Linked DNA regions of Anolis sagrei. The protein of the gene in region 3 interacts with the protein of the main gene of each other region in a pairwise test. Links are inferred from orthologs where the notes say so. Each region holds a gene or a part of one and is shown on either strand. Other genes may lie near its edges.

What was found.
Region 1: the proteins of GRB10 (region 3) and GIGYF1 interact in a two-hybrid assay, tested with the Homo sapiens proteins (2 studies listed by BioGRID). The link is inferred for Anolis sagrei from reciprocal best matches to the Homo sapiens genes GRB10 and GIGYF1.
Region 2: the proteins of GRB10 (region 3) and IGF1R interact in a two-hybrid assay, tested with the Homo sapiens proteins (4 studies listed by BioGRID and IntAct). The link is inferred for Anolis sagrei from reciprocal best matches to the Homo sapiens genes GRB10 and IGF1R.

The regions. Positions count from the first base shown.
Region 1 is NC_090026.1:2,531,336-2,538,903, reverse strand, and holds the start of GIGYF1 (GRB10-interacting GYF protein 1), read right to left. Parts: upstream 3,015-7,568; 5' UTR 2,847-3,014; intron 2,644-2,846; exon of another isoform or gene 2,557-2,643; intron 1-2,556. UniProt on the Homo sapiens protein: May act cooperatively with GRB10 to regulate tyrosine kinase receptor signaling. May increase IGF1 receptor phosphorylation under IGF1 stimulation as well as phosphorylation of IRS1 and SHC1.
Region 2 is NC_090029.1:14,282,378-14,289,941, reverse strand, and holds the start of IGF1R (insulin-like growth factor 1 receptor), read right to left. Parts: upstream 3,015-7,564; 5' UTR 961-3,014; coding exon 867-960; intron 1-866. UniProt on the Homo sapiens protein: Receptor tyrosine kinase which mediates actions of insulin-like growth factor 1 (IGF1). Binds IGF1 with high affinity and IGF2 and insulin (INS) with a lower affinity. The activated IGF1R is involved in cell growth and survival control.
Region 3 is NC_090026.1:61,950,797-61,958,093, forward strand, and holds the start of GRB10 (growth factor receptor-bound protein 10), read left to right. Parts: upstream 1-4,286; 5' UTR 4,287-4,610; intron 4,611-5,160; exon of another isoform or gene 5,161-5,271; intron 5,272-7,297.

The DNA of each region.
Region 1 (7,568 bases), about 59 Mb from region 3:
GTATTTTTACTTCTGTTTTATACCAACATTGAATATTTGCCTTTATTATGCTGGAAGCCGCCTGAGTCCCCTTGGGGAGATAGGGCGGGCTACAGATATATTATTATTATTATTATTATTGGAGGTCCAAACACCTGGAGGACCAAAGACTGTGCAAGTCTGGTGTAGATGCACCCAGAACAAGGGACACCGGTGGAACGTAGTAACACTACTACTAATTATTATTATTATTTTATTTATTACCCACCTCTCCTCATGTCTCAAGGCGGGATTCAAAATAAATGAAAACACATCAACATTGCAGAAACAGTACAGGTACATAAAGGCCCTGAGTCCCTTCAGGGACATAGGACGGGATATAAAGTTATTTTATTATATTATATATATTATTAAAATGTATTTCGACAAGCACTCTCACTGTGCCATAATAATAACTTTATTTTTATACCCTGCCTCAATCTCCCCAAATGGACTAGGGGGAACTTACATGGGGCCAAGCCCAACAAAACAGTTAAAACATAACACATTAAAATGCATGTCAACAAAACAACAACAACATTAAGCGGTATATAAAACAAACATCAAAACCAAACAACCAAAAGCAAAGTTCAATGTCTTGTCATGGATGGTGCCACAACATTAAAGGAAAGAGCTAATGATAGAACTAATGGGTAAAGTGCAAATATCATATAGCAGCAATGAGGATAAGAGCGATTTATCATCAAGGATTTGGATAAACATTGTAAAGTGCTTGAGAACAAGATTCTTGGATCTTAACTGGGGCCAGCTGTCCAGGGAATTGCAATGGGTGTAAGCAAGAAGGGCAGGATCCGAGAACTGGGAGAGATCCCTACACCGCCCGAGCCCTCCCGACAGATGGCCATGCAGCCTATGCTTAAAACCCTCCAGAGAAAGAGATTCTGCAGAACTTCAACTGCCAGGAGGTTCTTCCGAATGTGGAGGTGGAATCAGACCACAGAGCAGCTCGGGCAAAGTTTCTCCCTCCAGGTCTTTTGGACTCCCAACTCCCACAATTCCTAACAGCCTCAGGCCCCATCCTTTTCCCACTCAGCCACTTATGGAAGTCCAAAACACCTGGAGGGTGCAAGTTTGCCCAGGCCTGGCTTAGAGTCTCTTCCAACTCAGGCCTTGTAATGTGGAATGAGGCTGAGGAGGAAAAGGAAAGGGCCTGAGGCTGCTGAGGGGGGAAAGGGCCCGAGGCTGCGCAAAAGGAAAAGGCCTGAGGCTGCTGAGGAGGAAAAGGAAATGGCCTGAGGCTGAGGAAAAGGCAGGGCCCTGAGGAGGAAATGGAAAGGGCCTGTGGCTGCTGATGAAAAGTAAAAGGCCCAAGGCTGCTGAGAGGGAAAAGGAAAGGACCTGAGGCTGTTGAGGTAAAAAATGGAAAGGGCCTGAGTCTGCTGAAAAGTAAAAGGCCTGAGGTTCCTGAGGAGGAAAAGGAAAGGCCGTGAGGCTACTGAGGAGGAAAAGTAAAAGATATGAGGCTGCTGAGGAGGAAAAGGAAAGAGACTGAGGCTGAGGAAAAGGCCTGAGGTTGAGGAAAAGGCAGGGCCCTGAGACTGCTGAGGAGGAAATGGAAAGGGCCTGTGGCTGCTGATGAAAAGTAAAAGGCCTTAGGCTGCTGTAGAGGAAAAGGAAAGGGCCTGAGGCTGCTGAGAGGGAAAAGGAAAGAGGCTGAGGCTGAGGAAAAGGGAAGGGCCCGAGGCTGCCGAGAAGGCAAAGGAAAAGTCCCGAGGCTCCTGAGGAGAAAAAGGAAAGGACCTGAGGCTGCTGAGAAGGAAAAGGCCTGAGGTTGCTGAGGGGGGAAAGGAAATGGGATGAGGAAAAGGCCTGAGGCTCCTGAGGAGGAAGAGGAAAGGGCTTGAGGCTGCTGAGGGGGGAAAGGAAAGGGCCTGAGGCTGCTGAGGAGGAAATGGAAAAGGTCTGAGGCTGCTGAGGAGGAAATGGAATGAGGCTGCTGAGGAGGAAATGGGAAAGACCTGAGGCTGCTAAGAAGGAAATTGAAAAGGCCTGAGGCTGCTGAGAAGGAAAAGGCCCGAGGCTGCTGAAGAGGAAATTAAAAGGGCCTGAGGCTGAGGAAAAGGCAGGGCCCTGGGGCTGCTGAGGAGAAAATGGAAAGGGTTTGTGGCTGCTGATGAAAAGCAAAAGGCCTGAGGCTGCTGTAGAGGAAAAGGAAAGTGCCTGAGGCTGCTGAGGTAAAAAAAAAAGAAAAAAGGAAAGGGCCTGAGGCTGCTGAGGAGGAAAAGGAAAGAACCTGAGGCTGCTGAAAAGTAAAAGGATTGAGGCTGCTGAGAGGGAAAAGGAAAAATCCTGAAGCTCCTGAGGAGGAAAAGGAAAAGAGCTGAGGAAAAGGAAAGGGCCTGAGGCTGCTGAGGAGGAAAATAAAAAGGCCTGAGGGTGCTGAGGAGGGAGAGGAAAAGGCCTGAGCCTGTCCCGAATTGTGGGAGTTGGAGTCCCAAAGAGCTGGAGGGAGGAAGCTGGCCCAAGCCCGGCCTATCGAGTCCAGCCCATGCGCGCGGCCTGGCGAGGCCTCCTTACCAGAGCCGAAGCCCACCCGCACGGCCACTGGCCCCGGGCGAGGAGGGAAGGGGCGAGGAGCGGGGTCTCCTCAGACCCAGAGAAAGGAGGGGCGGGAAGCGGAAGTGGGGAGGCGGGACTTCCGCCGCCGCAGCGCCGCCTGCCCTAACGCGAGGGGGCGGGGCCGGCGAGGGAGCCGAGGAGGGCGGGGGGAGGGGTCTCCTAGGCGACGGAGCGGGTGGGCGTGGCCCCGAGGGAGCGGGCACGGCGGGAGGGGGGCTTCCATGGCAACGGGAGGGGGCGTGGCTTACCTTTTGCTGGGGGAGGGAGGGGGGAAGAGGAGGAGGAGGCGTGGCCTCGGCGCGGATCCGCGTCTCTCTCTCTCTCTCTCCTTCTCTCTCTCTCTCTCGCGGGGAGCTCCGTCCTCCTCTCGCCGCTTGTTTGTGTTTGTAACCAAAATGGCCGCCCTCCTCCTTCTCGTCACGTGACGCGACTGAGCCTAGCGCGCATGCGCAGACCAGGGGGAACAAGACGAGTGGGGCGGGGCTTGAAGGGGAAAGAATGGAAAGGGTGGTACTGCGCAGCCGCAGAAGATTCGAACTCGCTTTTTCTGTGTACGCATGCGCAACCTAGGAAAAGCCTCTCCAAGGGGGTTTTCTTGCACGCATGCGCAACCTAGGAAAAGCCTCTCTCAGGGGTTTTCTTGCACGCATGCGCAAACTAGGAAAAGCCTCTCTAAGGGGTTTTCTTGCACGCATGCGCAAACTAGGAAAAGCCTCTCTAAGGGGTTTTCTTGCACGCATGCGCAAACTAAGAAAAGCCTCTCAGGTGTTTTCTTGCACGCATGCGCAACCTAGGAAAAGCCTCTCTGAGGTTTTTCTTGCACGCATGCGCAAACTAGGAAAGGTCTAAGGGGTTTTTCTTGCACGCATGCGCAAACTAGGAAAAGCCTCTCAGGTGTTTTCCTGCACGCATGCGCAAACTAGGAAAAGCCGCTCTAAGGGGTTTTCTTGCACGCATGCGCGAACTAGGTTAAGGGAGTTTAAATGTACGCATGCCCAGAACGGTTTGTACTTGGTATAATCGTCTCGCCGCTCTCATCCGCGCGTGCGCAAAGCGGCGCAAGGGCATTTGTACGAGATCGGAGGAGCGGTGTCCACGTGACCTTGCCTGCCTGCTTTGGCGCGCTCTCGCCGCTAGAGGCGCGCTCCCGGAGAGAAATGCCGAAGGGGATTGGTCGGCCCTCGCCCTCGTCACGTGATCCCCGCCTGGGCCTAGCCCGTGACGTCATCACCACCTCTCCGCCATCGAGTCGCAAAATGACGTCAGCAAAAGGGGACGTGGGCACGAAATATTTGTACTAAAGGTCGGATTGCATCGGAATAATAGACCATAGTTCCTCTCAAAGTTGCAGCACGTTTACTCCATTAATTACCTGTTTTCCTTCATCCAAAAATTACCTCAGCTTTACTCCAATATTACCTCAGGTTCGCTTCAATATTACTTCGGGTTTACTTCAATATTACCTCATATTTGAGTTGTTGTAGGTTTTTCAGGATGTCAGGCCATGTTCCAGAGGCATTCTCTCCTGACGTTTCGCCTGCATCTATGGCAAGCATCCTCAGAGGTAGTGAGGTCTGTTGGAAGTAGGAAAAATGGGTTTATATATCTGTGGAATGACCAGGGTGGGACAAAGGACTCTTGTCTGCTGGAGCTAGGTGGGAATGTTTCAACTGACCACCTTGATTAGCATTTGATGGCCTGGCAGTGCCTGGGGAAATCTTTTGTTGAGAGGTGATTAGAGAAGCAACTGGAACCAGGAAAATGGGTTTATATATCTGTGGAAAGACCAGGGTGGGACAAAGGACTCTTGTCTGCTGGAGCTAGGTGTGAATGTTTCACCCTAATCACAACCCAGTGATTCCAGCCATGAAACTCTTCGACAATACCTCATATTTACTCGAGCATTAGGCATGAGAGGTGGGTCCGGAAGCAGCTCTGAGCCTTACGCTCTTTCCACTTCGCTACTTTGGGAGCCCTGTTTGCACAACACAGAAAGGAACACAGGCATTGCAGAAGGAATGTCAGAGTTCTTTAATGATAAAACCCTAACCCTAATCCCTTAACCTGAACCCTATCCCTTAACCCTATTCCTAACTCTTAACCCTAATCCTAATTCTAACCTAACTGTAATCCTAAACCAAACCCTAATTCTAACCCAAACCCCAAACCTTACCCTAACCATAAACCCTACCCTAACCCTAATCCTAATCCAACCCTAAACCTTACCCTAACCCAAACCCTAATCCTAACTCTAATTCTAACCCAAACCTGAAATCTAACCCTAATTCTAACCCAAGCCCTAAACCTTACCCTACGCCTAAGACTAACCCTTAACCCTAATCCTAACCGTAATCCTAACCCTGATTCTAACCCAAACCTAAAACCTTACCCCAAGCCAAACCCTAACCCTGAACCTAACTGTAATCCTAAACCAAACCCTAAACCTTACCCTAACCCTAACTGTAATCCTAAACCAAACCCTAAACCTTACCCTAATCGTAAACCTTACCCTAAACCTTAACCCTAATCCTAACCCAAACCCTAATTCCAACCCTAAACCTTACCCTAACTAATCATAACCATAAACTTAAACCTTAACCTTAATCCTAATCCAAACCGTAATCCTAATCCAAATTCTAACCCTAACCATACCCTAACCCTAAGTCTCACCCCTAACCCTAACCTTACTAAACCTTTCTATCCTTTCACCAAATGCAACTACGAAGTATATTCCCGCCCTCAGTGTCCCATTCTCCCCTTCCCTTATTCAGAACCACTGTTGCGGAATGGGCGTAACGCTTGGCGCTTCCAGACCCAGCTATCATACTCTCACCGAGCATTATCTCAAATTTACTTCAGCATTACCTCAGGTTTACTCCCATATTAGCTCCAGTTTACTCCAATATTACCTCAAGTTTACTACAATATTGCCTCATATTTAATCCATACATTACCTCAAATTTACCCCCACATTACCTCAGATTTACTTCAGTATTACCTCAGGTTTACTCCCATATTAGCTCCTGTTTACTCCAATATTTCCTCAGATTTACTGCAATATTGCCTCATATTTACTCCATACTTTACCTCAAATTTACCCCCATATTACCTCAGATTTACTTCGGTATTACCTCAGGTTTACTCCCATATTAGCTCCAGTTTACTCCAATATTACCTCAGGTTTACTGCAATATTGCCTCATATTTACTCCATACTTTACCTCAAATTTACCCCCACATTACCTCAGATTTACTTCAGTATTACCTCAGATTTACTCCCATATTAGCTCCTGTTTACTCCAATATTACCTCAGGTTTACTGCAGTATTGCCTCATATTTACTCCATACATTATCTCAAATTTACCCCCACATTACCTCAGATTTACTTCAGTATTACCTCAGGTTTACTCCCATATTAGCTCCGGGTTACTCCAATATTACCTCAGGTTTACTGCAATATTGCCTCATATTTACTCCATACATTACCTCAAATTTACCCCCACATTACCTCAGATTTACTTCAGTATTACCTCAGGTTACTCCCATATTACCTCCGGTTTACTCCAATATTACCTCAGGTTTACTGCAATATTGCCTCATATTTACTCCATACATTACCTCAAATTTACCCCCACATTACCTCAAATTCAGTATTACCTCAGGTTTACTCCCATATTACCTCCCGTTTACTCCCATATTACCTCAGGATAACTGCAATATTGCCTCATATTTACTCCATACATTACCTCAAATTTACCCCCACATTACCTCAGATGTACTTCAGTATTACCTCAGGCTTACTCCCATATTACCTCCTGTTTACTCCAGTATTACCTTAGATTTACTTCAATGTTACCACAGGTTTACTCCAATATTATCTCAGATTTACCCTGGACATTATTCCACAGGTATAGTATATACACTCCACTTGCCTCCCTTCCAACAGAGCTCTGAACAAACTTCTGAGGATGCTTGTCAAAAATGCAGGTGGAACATCAGGAGATAATGCTACTGGAACATGGCCATACAGCCCAGAAAAGTCAGGGCAACCCAAATTAACGTTTACTACAACTAGAAGTAGAAGGCCTGAAATTTGGGATTTGTACCTAGGTTCTGAGAGTGCCTTGGACTGCGAGAAGATCCAACCAGTCCATCCTCCAGGAAATAAAGCCCGGCTGCTCACTGGAAGGAAGGAGACTAGAGACAAAGTTGATGTCCTTTGGGCACATCATGAGGAGACAGCAAAGCCTAGAGAAGACAATGATGCTGGGGAAAGTGGAAGGCTAAAGGAAGAGGGGCCGACCAAGGGCAAGATGGATGGATGACATCCTTGAAGTGACTGGACTGACCTTGAAGGAGCTGGGGGTGGTGACGGCCGACAGGGAGCTCTGGCATGGGCTGGTCCATGAGGTCACGAAGAGTCGGAAACGACTGAACGAATGAACAACAACAACAACCTACCTATGGCACTATTTTAATAACCACTACATAAGGAGATGGCAATGAGAAGCATTGGACCTTGGAGCCAGGGATGGTGTTTCCTAGAGGAAACATTCAAGTACAGGTGTGGGCCAACTTCAGCCTTCCTTCCAGGTGTTTTGGACTTCAACTCCCACAATTCCTAACAGCCTATCGGCTGTTAGGAATTGTGGGAGTTGAAGTCCAAAACGCCTGGAGGACCCAAGTTTGCCCATGCTTAATAGAAAGTTCTGAAGAAGAGGCAAGACCAGAACCCTTCCACGCTGGAAGAAGGATTCCAAGATTTCATCTTCCATGGCCTGAGGGCAAAGTCTCCTCGGCCTCACCTGGAGACGGGACTGTTGTCCTCAGAGGCTGAGACAGGCCGGGGAAACATGGAGACTATAAATAAAACTTGGAAGATGCAACACGACTATAAATGAAACGTGAAATATGTTTATCGGCCCCACCTGGTTTATGGCCGAGGTGTTTTCCTCGGGAGAGAAGGGAAC
Region 2 (7,564 bases), on a different chromosome or scaffold from region 3:
GAACTGAAGACCAAAACACCTGGAAGGGAGGGACCAAGTTAGCCCATGCCAAGTCCAAAAGACCTGGAAGGGAGGACCCAAGTTGGCCCATGCCTTCATCCTCTTGGCAATGGACACTTCAGTCAATCAAGGGATCATCTGAATACACACATTATGGGCAGTGAAGTCCAAAACACCTGGAAGGGAGGGCCCAAGTTGGCCCATGCCTTCATCCTCTTGGCAATGGACACCAGTCAATCAAGGGATCATCTGCATACACACATTATGGGAACTGAAGACCAAAACACCTGGAAGGGAGGGCCCAAGTTGGCCCATGCCTTCGTCCTCTTGGCAATGGACACTACATTCAATCAAGGGATCATCTGAATACACACATTATGGGAAGTGAAGTCCAAAACACCTGGAAGGGAGGGCCCAAGTTGGCCCATGCCTTCATCCTCTTGGCAATGGACACTACAGTCAATCAAGGGATCATCTGCATACACACATTATGGGAAGTGAAGTCCAAAACACCTGGAAGGGAGGGCCCAAGTTGGCCCATGCCTGGTATAGCAGCTTGTCCTTCCAACTGATGGAGGAGACAATATGAGCTAAAAATAAACACATGTGTGTGTGTGTTTTCTGGGTAAATGCCCGGAAAACATGTGTGTGTGTGTGTGTGTTGTTTATTTTTAGCATGTGTGTGTGTGTGTTTTCCGGGTAAATCCCGGAAAACTCACAGCAACCCAATAAACCCAATAAATATAGCCGCCTGTCCTTTCATCAATCCCAACTCCTGGTAGAGGAGATGGAATTAAAAATAAACTACCCCCCCCCTTAACAGACACACACACATAAATATATAGGTATGTCTATGAAACACTCACTTTTTCCATTTGCTGTCCCGAAGCAAAACGTGGTCAAGATCAGCAAAAGCCCCCCATATAAGGTCAGGGACCCTCCTCCAGCGCCAGGCTTCATTCCTCTCTTTTTGTCCTTCTGGGTTGGGAGCAAAACTGGCCTTTGGGAAGTCCACAAAAACAGAAGAATCTAACAACAATACTAATCAATCTGTACAGGGTTTCCAGAGAAGCGGTGGAACTCTTCTTCCCCAACCTTGTTCCCCCAAAAAAGAAGGATTTTCTCTCCAAAAGGCTCCTTTTGGAGAAAGGAGGACAAGAATACAGAGAGAGAGAAGCGTTTGGGAGTCCTTGGATGTTTCCCTGGTTTGGTTCTTTCTCTTTCCTTTGGGGAGGCCTCTGCCAGGGGAAGAAGGAAGGGAATGGAGGGAGGAAGGAAAGGCAGGGATGGGGGGTCTTTTGGAGAGGCCAAAAAGGGGTCTTTGGCCCCTTTTTTCTCTTCGAGGAGGGAAGATCCCGGCGTGCGCCTCAGCCTCGCCTGCAGTCATCCAGGAGCAGCAAACATGTCACACGTTGGAGCAAACAGTCCGCATCTTCGACCTCCATCTTTTTTCTTCTCCTCCTCCTCCTTCTCCTTCTTCCTGCCGGGCTTGCCTTCTCCGCCCTACCCCCACAAACAAATAAACAAACAAATAAACAATCAGGAAAACACCAACACGGATCCCTTCTTTGCCTCCTTCCTCTCTCTCCAAGCCTCCTGTGCGCAATGCAAAAGGCCTCCTTGCTTTTACGCACGACTTCTCCTTCTCAATCTCCTTTGGAAAAAACCCCCAAAATGCAAAAATGGAAAAAAATCCCCAAAACCCCAAAGAGGAAACGCAGGGGAACGATGAGGGGGTGCTTTCCTTTGGAGAAAAAAAAATGACTCAATCCAATATTTCTTCCAATGGAAGGAAAGAAAGAAAGAAGGAAGGTTGTTGTTGTTTTTGGAGAGGTTCCTTTCTGGTCCTTCTTCCTGACTCCTTTCTCTCTCTCTTCCCTTTGTATTTTTTCGTCCCACCAAAAAGCTCTAAAAGGAGGAGAAATAGAGGAACGACTGGGGGGTCGCTTTCCTTGGAAGGGCGGGGGGACAAATTCAATCCAGTATTTCTTCCAATGGAAGGAAAGAAGGAAGGTTGTTGTTGTTTTTGGAGAGGTTCCTTTCTGGTCCTTCTTCCTGACTCCTTTCTCTCTTCCTTTTGTATTTTTTCGTCCCACCAAAAAGCTCTAAAAGGAGGAAAAATAGAGGAACGACTGGGGGGGTCGCTTTCCTTGGAGGGGGGGACAAATTCAATCCAATGGGAGTGGAAGGAAGGAAAGAAGGAAGGAAGGAAGGCAAGGCGGATCTTGTTGTTGTTTTGGAGAGGTTTCCTTTCTGGCGCGTTTCCCCCTCTTTCAGACGCCTTTCTCTCTTCTTTTTGCCCCCCAAGAATGGAGGAGGCGTCCTTCAAAGGGTCCGAAGCCCCTTCCCCATCTTTCCTCGGCCTGTTTTTGCCAAATGCGGATCCTAAATGCGGAATGGCGATGAATGGAGGGAGGAGACGCGGCGCGCCAAAGGCTTGGCTTTCTCTCTTTCTCTGTCTCTCTCTCTTTCCCCCTCCTTTTTTCCCAGGCTCCTTCCCAAATAGGAAAAAGGAGGGAAAGGAAGGGGGGGGGGGGACCAAAGGAAGGGGCACCTCCCTCTGGAAAGAAAAAAAAAGAGGCAAATAAATAGGGAGGGAGTCCCTTCTCCAAACGCCTCCCTTCCCTTCGGAAAGGCGCCTTTGCAAACAACGCCAGGCGAGGCTCGAGGGAGATCCCGGAGGCGGATTCCGAAGCTGGGTTTCTCTTTCTCTCTTTCTCTCTGTGTCTCTCTTTCCTTCCCTTCTTCGCCTTCTCTTCCCAAAGAAGCAGAGGAATGAATGGTGGGAGGAGGAGGAGGATCCGGCGTTTGGCTGCTGAAGGTCAAATCCTGGGGAGCAGCAAAACCAAAGCAAGGAAGGAAGGAAGGAAACAAAGCCAAGCAGCACTGTTCTCCCTTGCTTGCTTGCTTTTCCTCCCTCCCTCCTTCCTTCTCTCTCTCTCTTTACCAGAGGAGGGGGCCTACCAGGCCGGAGAGTCGCCCTCCGCAGCAGTAGCAGCAACAACCTCCGCCTTCCTCTCTTCCTCCTCCTCCTCCTCTTCCTCCTCCTCTCGACTGCGGAGGCTGGCTTTTTCCACGGCGCCGCCTCCTCCTCTTCCTCCTCTCCTCCTCTTTCTCCTTCCTCCTCTCCTGACTCCCAGCCGTAGCCCAGGCTTTCCCCTTCCTCCCCCCCCCCCCCCCGCTTTGGGGTTGCAGGCCTCCAAAGTGGGTGCACCCCCCCTCCCCGACCGCCTCTCCAAATGCGCAAAAATAGAGACCCCTCTCTCCCTCTCCAAAGGAAAACGCCCAAATCTGGATATTGAGAGTTTTGCAATGCTTATAGTAGTGACTGAGAAGGGTGCTTAAGACTTTGAAGGTGACAAGAAAGGAGGCTTTCTCCCAAGTCTTTGGGGATTTGGGGGTCTTGCAATGCCATGATGGAGACTGAGAAGGGTGCTCCAAACGCTGAGGGTGCCAAGAAAGGAGCCTTTCTCCCAAGTCTTTGGGCATTTTGGGGGGGGGGGGGGTTGCAGTGCCATGATGGAGACTGAGAAGGGTGCTCCAGACTCTGAAGGTGCCAAGAAAGGAGGGTTTCTCCCAAGTCTTTGGGCATTTGGGGGTCTTGTAATGCCATGATGGGGACTGAGAGGAGTGCTCCAGACTCTGAAGGTGCCAAGAAGGGAGCCTTTCTCCCAAGTCTTTGGGCATTTGGGGGGGGGGGGGTTTGCAATGCCATGATGGGAGACTGAGAGGGGTGCTACAGACTCTGAAGGTGCCAAGAAAGGAGGCTTTCTCCCAAGTCTTTGGGCATTTGGGATCTTGCTATGCCATGAGGGAGACTGAGAGGGGTGCTCCAAACTCTGAATGTGACGGAAAAGAGGCTTTTCCCCAAATCTTTGGACATTTGGGGGGGTTGCAATGCCATGATGGTGACTGAGAAGGGTGCTCCAGACTCTGAAGGAGCCAGAAAGGAGGGTTTTTCCCAAGTCTTCAGGCATTTGAGGGGTTGCAATGCCATGATGGTGACTGAGAGGGGTGCTCCACACTTTGAAGGTGCCAAGAAGGGAGACTTTCTCCCAAGTCTTTGGGCATTGGGGGTTTACAATGCCATGATGGTGACTGAGAAGGGTGCTCCAGACTCTGAAGGTGCCAGAAAGGAGCCTTTCTCCAGTCTTTGGGCATTTGGGGGTTGCAATGCCATGGTGGTGACTGAGAAGGGTGCTCCAGACTCTGAAGGTGCCAGAAAGGAGCCTTTCTCCAGTCTTTGGCCATTTGGGGGTTGCAATGCCATGGTGGTGACTGAGAGGGGTACTCAAGACCCTGAAGGTGACAAGAAAGGAGCCTTTCTCCCAATTCTTTGAGCATTTGAGGGGTTGCAATGCCATGATGGTGACTGAGAGGGGGGCTCCAGACTCTGAAGGTGCCAGAAAGGAGGGGTTTTCCCCAAGTCTTCAGGCATTTGAGGGGTTGCAATGCCATGATGGTGACTGAGAGGGGTACTCAAGACTTTGAAGGTGCCAAGAAAGGAGGATTTCTCCCGATTCCTTGGGCATTTGGGGAGTCTTGCAGTGCCATGATGGAGACTGAGAGGGGTGCTCCAGACTCTGAAGGTGCCAAGAAAGGAGGCTTTCCCCCAAGTCTTTGAGCATTTGGGGTCTTGCAATGCCATGATGGTGACTGAGAGGGGTACTCAAGACCCTGAAGGTGCCAAGAAAGGAGACTTTCTCCCAAGTATTTGGGCATTTGGGGGTCTTGCAATGCCATGATGGTGACTGAGAGAGGTACTCAAGACCCTGAAGGTGCCAAGATAGGAGCCTTTCTCCCAATTCTTTGGGCATGGGGGGGGGGGGTCCAATACCATGATGGAGACTGAGAGGGGTGCTCCACACTTTGAAGGTGCTTTTTTCCCAAGTCTTTGGGCATTTGGGGGTTTTGCAATGCCGTGATGGAGACTGAGAGGGGTGCTCCAGACTCTGAAGGTGCCAAGATAGGAGCCTTTCTCCCAATTCTTTGGGCATTGGGGGGGGGGGGGGGGTTCCAATTCCATGATGGTGACTGAGAGAGGTACTCAGGACCCTGAAGGTGCCAAGATAGGAGCCTTTCTCCCAATTCTTTGGGCATTGGGGGGTGGGGTTCCAATGCCATGATGGAGACTGAGAGGGGTACTCCACACTTTGAAGGAGACTTTCTCCCAAGTCTTTGGGCATTTGGGGGTTTTGCAATGCCATGATGGTGACTGAGAGGGGTACTCAAGACCCTGAAGGTGCCAAGAAAGGAGCCTTTCTCCCAATTCTTTGGGCATGGGGGGGGGTCCAATACCATGATGGAGACTGAGAGGGGTGCTCCACACTTTGAAGGTGCTTTTTTCCCAAGTCTTTGGGCATTTGGGGGTTTTGCAATGCCGTGATGGAGACTGAGAGGGGTGCTCCAGACTCTGAAGGTGCCAAGATAGGAGCCTTTCTCCCAATTCTTTGGGCATTGGGGGGTGGGGTTCCAATGCCATGATGGAGACTGAGAGGGGTACTCCACACTTTGAAGGAGACTTTCTCCCAAGTCTTTGGGCATTTGGGGGTTTTGCAATGCCATGATGGAGACTGAGAGGGGTACTCAAGACCCTGAAGGTGCCAAAGCGAGGAACCTTTCTCTCTTTGCAGTCCTCTCCCTTAATTACAACACGAAATAAACACCCAGGAGGATAACAATCAGTAAGGTGCATCCAAACATTATTGGGGTTGGAAAGCAAGGGCTTTGCATCCTAACAGGGAAGACTAAATCTCGACTAAATCGGAAGCGTCTATTATTCTTAACTTCTATAATAACTTCATCATTCATTTGTTTCTCTTAACTTCTTTGCAATCTGATAACATTTCTATTACATACAATTATCTCTGTTTGTTTCTATTACATCTTAAACACATATGATAGGAAACACAACACCCCCCTCCCCTTTTATTTTTCTCCTTTGCTTGCGTTTCGGGAGCGCGCACGCACAAACGCACGCCTCCGCCACCGCTTTGCTTTTTGCAAGAGACGGAGCCTGGATTTCTCTCTCCTGGAGCACAAAGGAATGGAGCCTAGCAGCCCCTTATCCACGAATTCCATATCCGCGGGGCCTGGCTACTCCTTGGAGAAGTTTTCTCCCACTCCAAAAAAAAAGAAAGGTACCTAACTGCCTGTATAAAAGTGCTTCGGTATTACTATGCTGTTTTTTATGTATATGTGTGTGTATATAATAATAATTAATAATAATTATTATTAATTAATAATAATAATTAATAATAATTAATAATAATACTTTATCCCCAAAGGGATTTGGGGCGGCTTATATGAGGCCAAGCCCTACAATACATACATCAGTAAATCAACACAGCAATAACATAAAAGCCAAAAAAAGAGAAATCTATATACATAAAAATGTAATGTTCGTTTGTGGGATTAACAGAACTCAAAAACCACTGGACGAATTGACGCCAAATTTGGACACAAGACACCTACTAACCCAAGAAATGATCATCACGAAAAAAAATTGATTTTCTCATTTGGGAGTTGTAGTTGTTCGGATTTATAGTTCACCTCCAATCAAAGGGCATTCTGAACTCCACCAAATCATGGAATTTTACCAAACTTGGCACACAGGACTCCCCTGACCAACAGAAAATACTAGAAGCGTTTGGTGGGCATTGACATTCGTTTGGGAGTTGTAGTTCACCTACATCCAGAGAGCACTGTGGACTCAAACAATGAAGGATCCAGACCAAACTTGGCATGAAAATTCCATATGCCCTAATATGAACAGAGATGGCATTCAGAGGAAATAGACCTTGACATTTGGGATTTATAGTTCACCTACAATCAAACAGCATTCTGAACTCCACCAAATCATGGGATTGAACCAAACGTGGCACACAGGACTCCCCTGACCAACAGAAAATACTAGAAGGGTTTGGTGGGCATTGACGTTGGGTTTGGGAGTTGTAGTTCACCTACATCCAGAGAGCACTGTGGACTCAAACAATGAAGGATCCAGACCAAACTTAGCACGAATATTCCATATGCCCAAATATGAACAGAGATGGAGTCTGGGAGAAATAGACCTTGACATTTGGGATATGTAGTTACTGGGATTTATAGTTCACCTCCAATCAAAGAGCATTCTGAACCCCACCAACAACAGACTTGGGGCAAACTTCCCACACAAAACCCCCATGGCCAGCCATTCCAACTCCCTTCACCAGGGCAAGAAAATGTAATCAAAGGCCTCCTGACAAAGAGCCATCCAGCCATAGATGTAGATAGATATATATGATTCACACACAGAGAGATATAGTATCATAGATTTGAAATATAGTATCATGAATATGATATATTATCATAGTATCATAGATTTGAAAGGGACCCCTTAAGATGGACAATTATATGTTGCATGTTCCAAAGTAGGCAAACCAGATACTCTCCACATCAACACTGACAAAGACACAGCAAGAAATGCTGTTTACCCACAAGCATCAAGGCATTACATATATTAGAAACCAACACTTTCTAATTACTTCATTTTCCAGATCACCAGACTGGGCCACAGCAACGC
Region 3 (7,297 bases):
ATCTTGTGTTCCCAGAGCGCAGTCTGTTCAGTGCCTTCCAAGTCACCCAGTCTTCTGTGTGCCCAGGAGGGTGTTTCTCATTCGGTATCAGCCACTGATTGAAGTTCTGGGTTTCAGCCTGCCACTTTTGGACTCTCGCTTGCTGAGGTGTTCCTTCGAGCATCTCTGTAGATCTTAAGAAGCTGTTTCTTGATTTAAGACGTTAGCATGCTGGCTGATATCTGAACAGAGGATGGGCCGAAGCTGACAATGCCTTGGTCTTTTCATTACTGGTTGCTACTTCCTGGGGGATATCAGGTGGTGCAATACCAGCTAAACAGTATAATTTCTCCAGCGGTTTAGGAGACATCCTATGATAATGTGGCATATCTCATTAAGAGCCACATCCACTGTTTTAACACGGTGGAATGTATTCCACACTGGGCAGCAAAGTAGCAAAAGCAGATGTCTTCACTGTAACTGGTTGTGATCCCCAGGCTGTGTCAGTCAGCTTTTGTATGATATTATCTGTATCACACACTTTTTGCTTGATAATCAAGCGAGTGATTGTGAGTGGAAACTTGTGAGAAATCTGTGCAGCCTGCCAACTAGTGGTTATTTTAGGAATTTACATGAATCAAGGAGAAAAAAATAGAGTCGTGCCAACTTGAAGCTATAAGCCAGGCATGAAAAATGTTGGAAGTTGTCTTCCATGCTGCAGGATCAAATATTCTGCCAAGATTTCATATGTATCCATCTCATTGGTATGCAAATTGGCTTTTGCCTTTGACACAGAGTAAAAATGATATGCAATTGTTTGGAAAGAAATCTATGATTTATGATCAGTAAAGGTTTCATTTATATGTACCAGGCATGAGCAAACTTTGGCCCTCCTCCAAGTGTTTTGGACTTCACCTCCTACAGTTTTGAATTGTGTGAGTTGAAGTCCAAAACACCTGGAGGACTGAAGTTTGCCCATGCCTGCTCTATAAGCTAGCTAGCATTGCCCCCCCCCCCCCCCCGGATGTGCTATGGGAAGTTGTTGCCAACTATGAGAGAAATAAGGTTGAACACTGTGAAAGCCATCCACTGCATGGCTCTCAGCCTCCTCCCAGTAGGCTCAAATCAAGAAAAAGTTTCAGGAGAACCACTACTCGTCCTAATGTTCCTCCAGCAACAGGCTATTCCAGTTAGGTGGCCCCCCACGAGGGTCTTCCTCCAGGGGCAAACCAAGAATGGACAAGTCGGAAGTCCCTGAACAGACTCAGAAGTGGAGTGGGCAGATCAAAAGACAACATGGCTAAATGGCACAACCTAGAAGAATCCTCCACCTTGTGTGATTCGAGGAGCAGGACAAACAACTCAGCACCTATATGCAGGGGCGGCTCAACCCATTACGCAAAGTAAGCATTTGCAGTATAGTTGATTTTGCCCAGGGGAGCTCTTGAGGCGCTCTTGGGGGGGGGGGGGGGAATAGATCTTGACATATGCGAGTTGTAGTTACTGGGATGTATATTTATTTGTCGTGTCAGAACAACCAGTCAAATTATATAACATTTCTAACAGAACCAGTCAAATTATATTACATTTCTAACAGAACTGGGATGTATAGTTTACCTACAATCAAAGAGCATTCTGAACTCCATCGATGATGGAATTGAACCAAATATGGCACACAGAACTCCCACAACGAACAGAATATATATATATATATATATATATATATACCAGTGATTGGTTGGGGGGGGGGGGCACCAAAATACTGTTTGCTTACCGTTGAAAATTACCTAGGGTCGCCTCTGCCTATGTTAGTCCACAATGCCCTGCCTCATGCACAAAGGAAGAACTGTTTAAAACCACAGATAATGCAGTAGCTGTTGCCTGTTTTTGGTCTAAAATTATTTAGCCGTGTTGGAAATTACAACCTTCTTAAAACCTCCTCTAGTAAATTGATCATCTACAATCCTGTTGCTTCCTCATTGGATGTATGTTCTGCTATGCAGCTTTCTTTCTTTGCTCTATGTTTTTCCTGAGAAGTTGTGGGAGGGGCTGCAGACCACATGATCCACTCTGGGCCGAGCACAGACTTCTTTAGAGTTTTGGACTGCTCAGATTGCATACTTGCAAATGCTTGTGGATTATTATGAGAGGTGTTCTGACCGGATCGGACAGAAACTATCTCAAACATATCTGTAACTGACTGATAAATTGTGTATGCTGAACAAATGAAGGTTGTGATTAAACCAGATGTTATTATTATTATTTTTTTACCAAAGTCTACTTTAATGTGTCTCTAGTATGCATACTATAAAACAAGTTGTTTATGGGAGAGTAGACCCTTTGGAAGAACTGCTATTTTAATGCACCGGCATATTCTCTGTTTCCTATCAGATCAGAGACAAAGGTCACTCAGTCTAATAACTGAAGCCAATCACCTTGCATATTACCTTTGGTTGCATTCCATTTGAGAGGATTCTACTCAAATGAGTTTTTGGCTCTTTTCTAAAACAGTGTTTCTCAACCTGGGACCCCTGCAGAGGTTGCGAGGGGGTTTCAGAAGGGTCATCAGAGATCATAAGAAAACATATTTCTGATGGTCTTAGGAATCTTTGGCAGAGAAGGCTGAAGAACTCTCTGCCTGTTCTTCTCTTCCTTTTTGGAAACAGACAGCGAATTCACCCACCAAAAGCTGTGATTGGCCAGCCTCTCAGCCAAGGGGAGGGCTGTTCCTGGAGGACCATCATAGAATCAAAGAGTTGGAAGAGATCTCATGGGCCATCCAGTTCAACCCCCTGCCAAGAAGCAGGAATATTGCATTCAATTCACCCCCGACAGATGGCCATCCAGCCTCTGTTTAAAAGCTTCCAAAGAAGGCGCCTCCACCACCCTCCGGGGCAGAGAGTTCCACTGCTGAATGGCTCTCACAGTCAGGAAGTTCTTCCTCGTGTTCAGATGGAATCTCCTCTCTTGTAGTTTGAAGCCATTGTTCCGCGTCCTAGTCTCCAGGGAAGCAGAAAACAAGTTTGCTCCCTCCTCCCTGTGGCTTCCTCTCACATATTTATACATGGCTATCATATCTCCTCTCAGTCTTCTCTTCTTCAGGCTAAATATGCTCAGCTCCTTAAGCCTCTCCTCATGGGCTTGTTCTCCAGACGCTTGCTTCAGTGCTGGTGGTCTTTACTTCTTCTGCACGCTGACGTAACCCTTTCCTTACTTCTGATAAGAGACATTTTGGATATCAACTCCCTGATTTATTAATCATTGGCCATGTAACGAGGGCTTCTACATCAAAGGTAGTTAGAGAAGTACTAATTAGGAGCCACATCCACTGTTTTAGCATAGTGAGATGTGTTCCACACTGGGCATGCATACTCAGCAGCAGACTAGCACAGCGCAAGGGCAGATGTCTTCACTGTATCTGGTTGTGATCCCCAGGTTGTGCCAGTCAGCTTTCGTATGATATTGTTTTTGGCACCCACTTTTTGCTTGATGTTCAGGCAGTGCTTCTTGTAGGTAAGAGCACGATCCAGGGTGACTCCCAGGTATTTGGGTGCCCTATGCAGTCAGTGGTTCCCTTGATGTATGGCAGGAACACTTTTCCTGTGGGTGGATCTTCGTCTTTATTCTCGTGACTTGTTCTTGTTCTAGCAGCTCTACTTCAAACAAGGACATCTAATCACCTCTCAACAAAAGATTGCTCCAGGCACTGCCAGGCCATCAAAGGCTAATCAAGGTGGTCAGTTGAAACATTCACACTTAGCTCCAGCAAACAAGAGTTCTTTGTCTCTCCCTGGTCATGCCACAGATATATAAACCCATTTTCCTATTTCCAACAGACCTCACTACCTCTGAGGATGCTTGCCATAGATGCAGGCGAAACGTCAGGAGAGAATGCCTCTAGACCATGGCCATACAGCCCGAAAAAACCTACAACAACCCAATGATTCCGGCCATGAAAGCCTTCGATAATACTCTCTGCTTCATTCGGAAAATGCTGCACTCGCAGAGCTCAGGCGGTGTTGTATTGAGGTATAGAGCTAGGGCGGTGTAGACATTTCCCCTGGCGGAAAAGGGGCGGGGAAAGTTGGAAAGAGGCATATTTCCTCAGAAGCCACTCCGCCATGCCCCTTGAGGGACCCAGGCCCTCTTTTCCCGACGTCTGAGGGACTTCCCGAGCGAGCCTGAATCCCGAGCCAAACTTGGCCTCGGCTCCGGCGCGAGCTGCGACTGCGTGCGCGAGCGGCAGAGGGAGAGAGGGAGGGACCGTGGGCGGGGCTAGCGCGCCCCGGAGGGGGAGGGGCCATCGCCTGAGGAGAGAGAGGGAGCGAGAGAGAGGGAGAGAGGGGTGGGCGAGTCAGCTGGCGCGAGGCTTCCCAGGCGGAACCTTCCTTGAGGAGGGGCGCCAGACCAGACGGTTCCCTCCGTCTCCTTCCCCTTCGTTTCCCCAGGAAAGAGTTCCCGGAGAGGGCAGGCGCCCTTCCTTCCCCTCGCGCTGCCAAGTCCAGGCTGCGAGAAACTTAATCAGCTCAGGAGAGGGAGGTGCAGGCGGAAAGGGAGGCCACGAGGAGGAGGAGGAGCGGGAGCCGAGCGCGCCGCTCACTCCCTCAATCACTCTCTGACTGACTTTGCAGGTAAGTCACCCGTCGCGGAGGGGCTTGACAGGAAGCAGGAGGGGCGCGCGCGCGCAGGGCGTCGTGGCCCTTTCCCTCCTCGCGCGCAGTTCGCACGGGACGAACTTTGGGAGTTGTTTCTGCGGCTCGCGAGAGGACGCCAGGCGCGTGCCTTCTCGGGAGCAAAGAGAGAGAGTGTGTGTGTGTGCGCGCGCTCGGGGAAAGGGTGGTTCTCAACTTGCCCCCCTTCCTTTCCCTTCCCTTGCGCTTCGTGAGGGGCGTGCAAACTTCCCTTCCCGGCCGGAGCTTGGGTGCCCTCTCCACATTGCATCATAAACCAGGGTGGAGCCAGCCTTTTTCCTCCTCCTCCTCCTCTCTCCCTTCCTCCCCCTCCCCTCCCCCTCCGCCCCTGGCCTTAAGCAACGAGCTCTGAGGGGCTTGCCCGGCTCTGCCAATCAGGGGCGGCGGTGGCGGGCGCGCGCTCCCTTTCGCCTTTCTCCTGAAGGGAGGGAATGCGGCGCGCGCGCGTGTACTGAGGGGAGGTGAGGGGAGGGGGGAATCGAATGTGGGCACTTCCCCGGATTTAAGGAGGAAGGACGGAGCCAGGACTTCTGCACCCACCCGGTAATGCAATGCACGCCTCGTATAGCTGTTCTTTCAACTTTGTAAAGGCGATGCCAAGGTGGGTCTGCTTGGTCTCGCTCCCATTGTGCTGGTGGCGTCTTCCCCCAAAAGAGTGAGGAATGCTTTGCAAAACTTTCCAGCGTGCGGGGCTGGAAGAGCCAGGGCAAACTCTGAGGCAAGGCCTGGGCTGCTTTGATCACCCCCGAGGAGGATTGGCCACCTTCCCTCCAAGAGTGCAGGGAAAAAAGGAACCACTGGTTGCTTTGAGGGAGGAATCTTCTTCTTTCTGGTCCTGTGACAGCTGTTGATTCCTTCTGCCTTCGCTTTGGTGTCTGTGTCTCCTTCGAGCCCCTGTTTCTGAATTCTCCCACTTGTTACATGCTGATTTCTACTTGTTGCATCCTTTGGTCCTTCCACTTAAAGAGAGAGCAGCCCAGTCTCTTCTTTTCACTCTTTCTGTGTATTTTGCATACACTGCCTGAAGTGAAGATGACCAGTGCAGGTTAACATTTATTCCTGACTGAGAGCCGTTCATCTGTGGAACTCTCTGCCCAGGCATGTAGCCGGGCATGTAGCCGAAAATCTCATGGTGGTCCGCAAGAAGGCCTTACTGGTACATTATTTAAACCAGTGATTCTCAACCTTCTTAATGTCACGACCCCTTAATACAGTTCCACATGTTGTGGTGGCCCCCAAGCAAAAAATTATTGTTATTGCTACTTCATATCTGCAACTTTGCTACTGTTATTATGTAAATATCTGATATGCAGGATGTATTTTCATCACTGGATCAAATTTGAATACTGGTGGGGTTGGGGGGATTAATTTTGTCATTTGGGAGTTGTAGTTTATAGTTCACCTACAATCAAAGAGCATTCCGAACTCCACCAACGATGGAATTGAAGCAGACTTGGCACACAGAACTCCCATGACCAACAGAAAATACTGGAAGGGTTTGGTGGGCATTGACCTTGAGTTTGGGAGTTGTAGTTCACCTACATCCAGAGAGCACTGTGGACTCAAACAATGATGGATCTGGACCAAACTTGGCATGAATACTCAGTATGCCCAAATATGAACACTGGTGGAGTTTGGTGAAAATAGAGTTTGCCATTTGGGAGTTGTAGTTGCTGGGATTTATAGTTCACCTACAATCAGAGAATTATGAACTGCACCAATGATAGAATTGGGTGAAACTTCCCACACAGGACCCCCATGACTAACAGAAAATGTTGTGCTTTCTGATGGTCTTTGGCGACCCTTTTAAAACCCCCTCGTGACCCCTCCAGGGGTCCTGACCCCCAGGTTGAGAACCACTGATTTAAACTGTTATGTTATTCATATCATGATCTGATCACCATGCTCAATATATCCCATATGCATGGGGTTATTGGAGTAGCAATACAAAAGGTTTGCTAGGGTAGACCCTCTTTCACTCAGACTCAGCCCCCTGCCACGAATCAAACTCCCCCCCCCCCCCCCGAATCAAAATCCTGGCTACGGGCCTGTCTGGGGCAGAGGCAGTCCCGTAGCCAGGATTATGTTTCGGGGGGAGCTGAGCTTGATTCGGGGGGGGGGGGGGCGAGTCTGAGTGAAAGAGGGTCTACCCTAGCAAACCTTTTGTAAAGACCCTCTTTCACTCAGACTCAGTCCCCCCCCCCCCCCTTTGAATCAAACTCAGCTCCTGGCTACGGGCCTGTCTCTGCCCCAGGGAGGCCTGTAGCCAGGATTTTGATTCGGGGAGGGGGGGGGCTGAGTCTGAGTGAAAGAGGGTCTACCCTAGCAAACCTTTTGTATTGTAACACCAATACCCCCATATTGAGCATGGTGATCAGATCGTGATATGAATAAACATAACAGTTTAAATAATGCACCAGTAAGGCCTTCTCGAGGGCCACCATGAGAATTTGGGGGGGGGGGGCGGCTAAAGCCCCTCAAACACCCCCCCCCCCCGGCTACATGCCTTGGCCCCAGAGTGTGGTGGAGGCTCCTTCTTTGGAAGCTTTTAAACAGAGGCTGGATGGCCATCTGTCATAGAATCCTAGAGTTGGAAGAGACCTCATGGGCCATCCAGTCCAACCCCC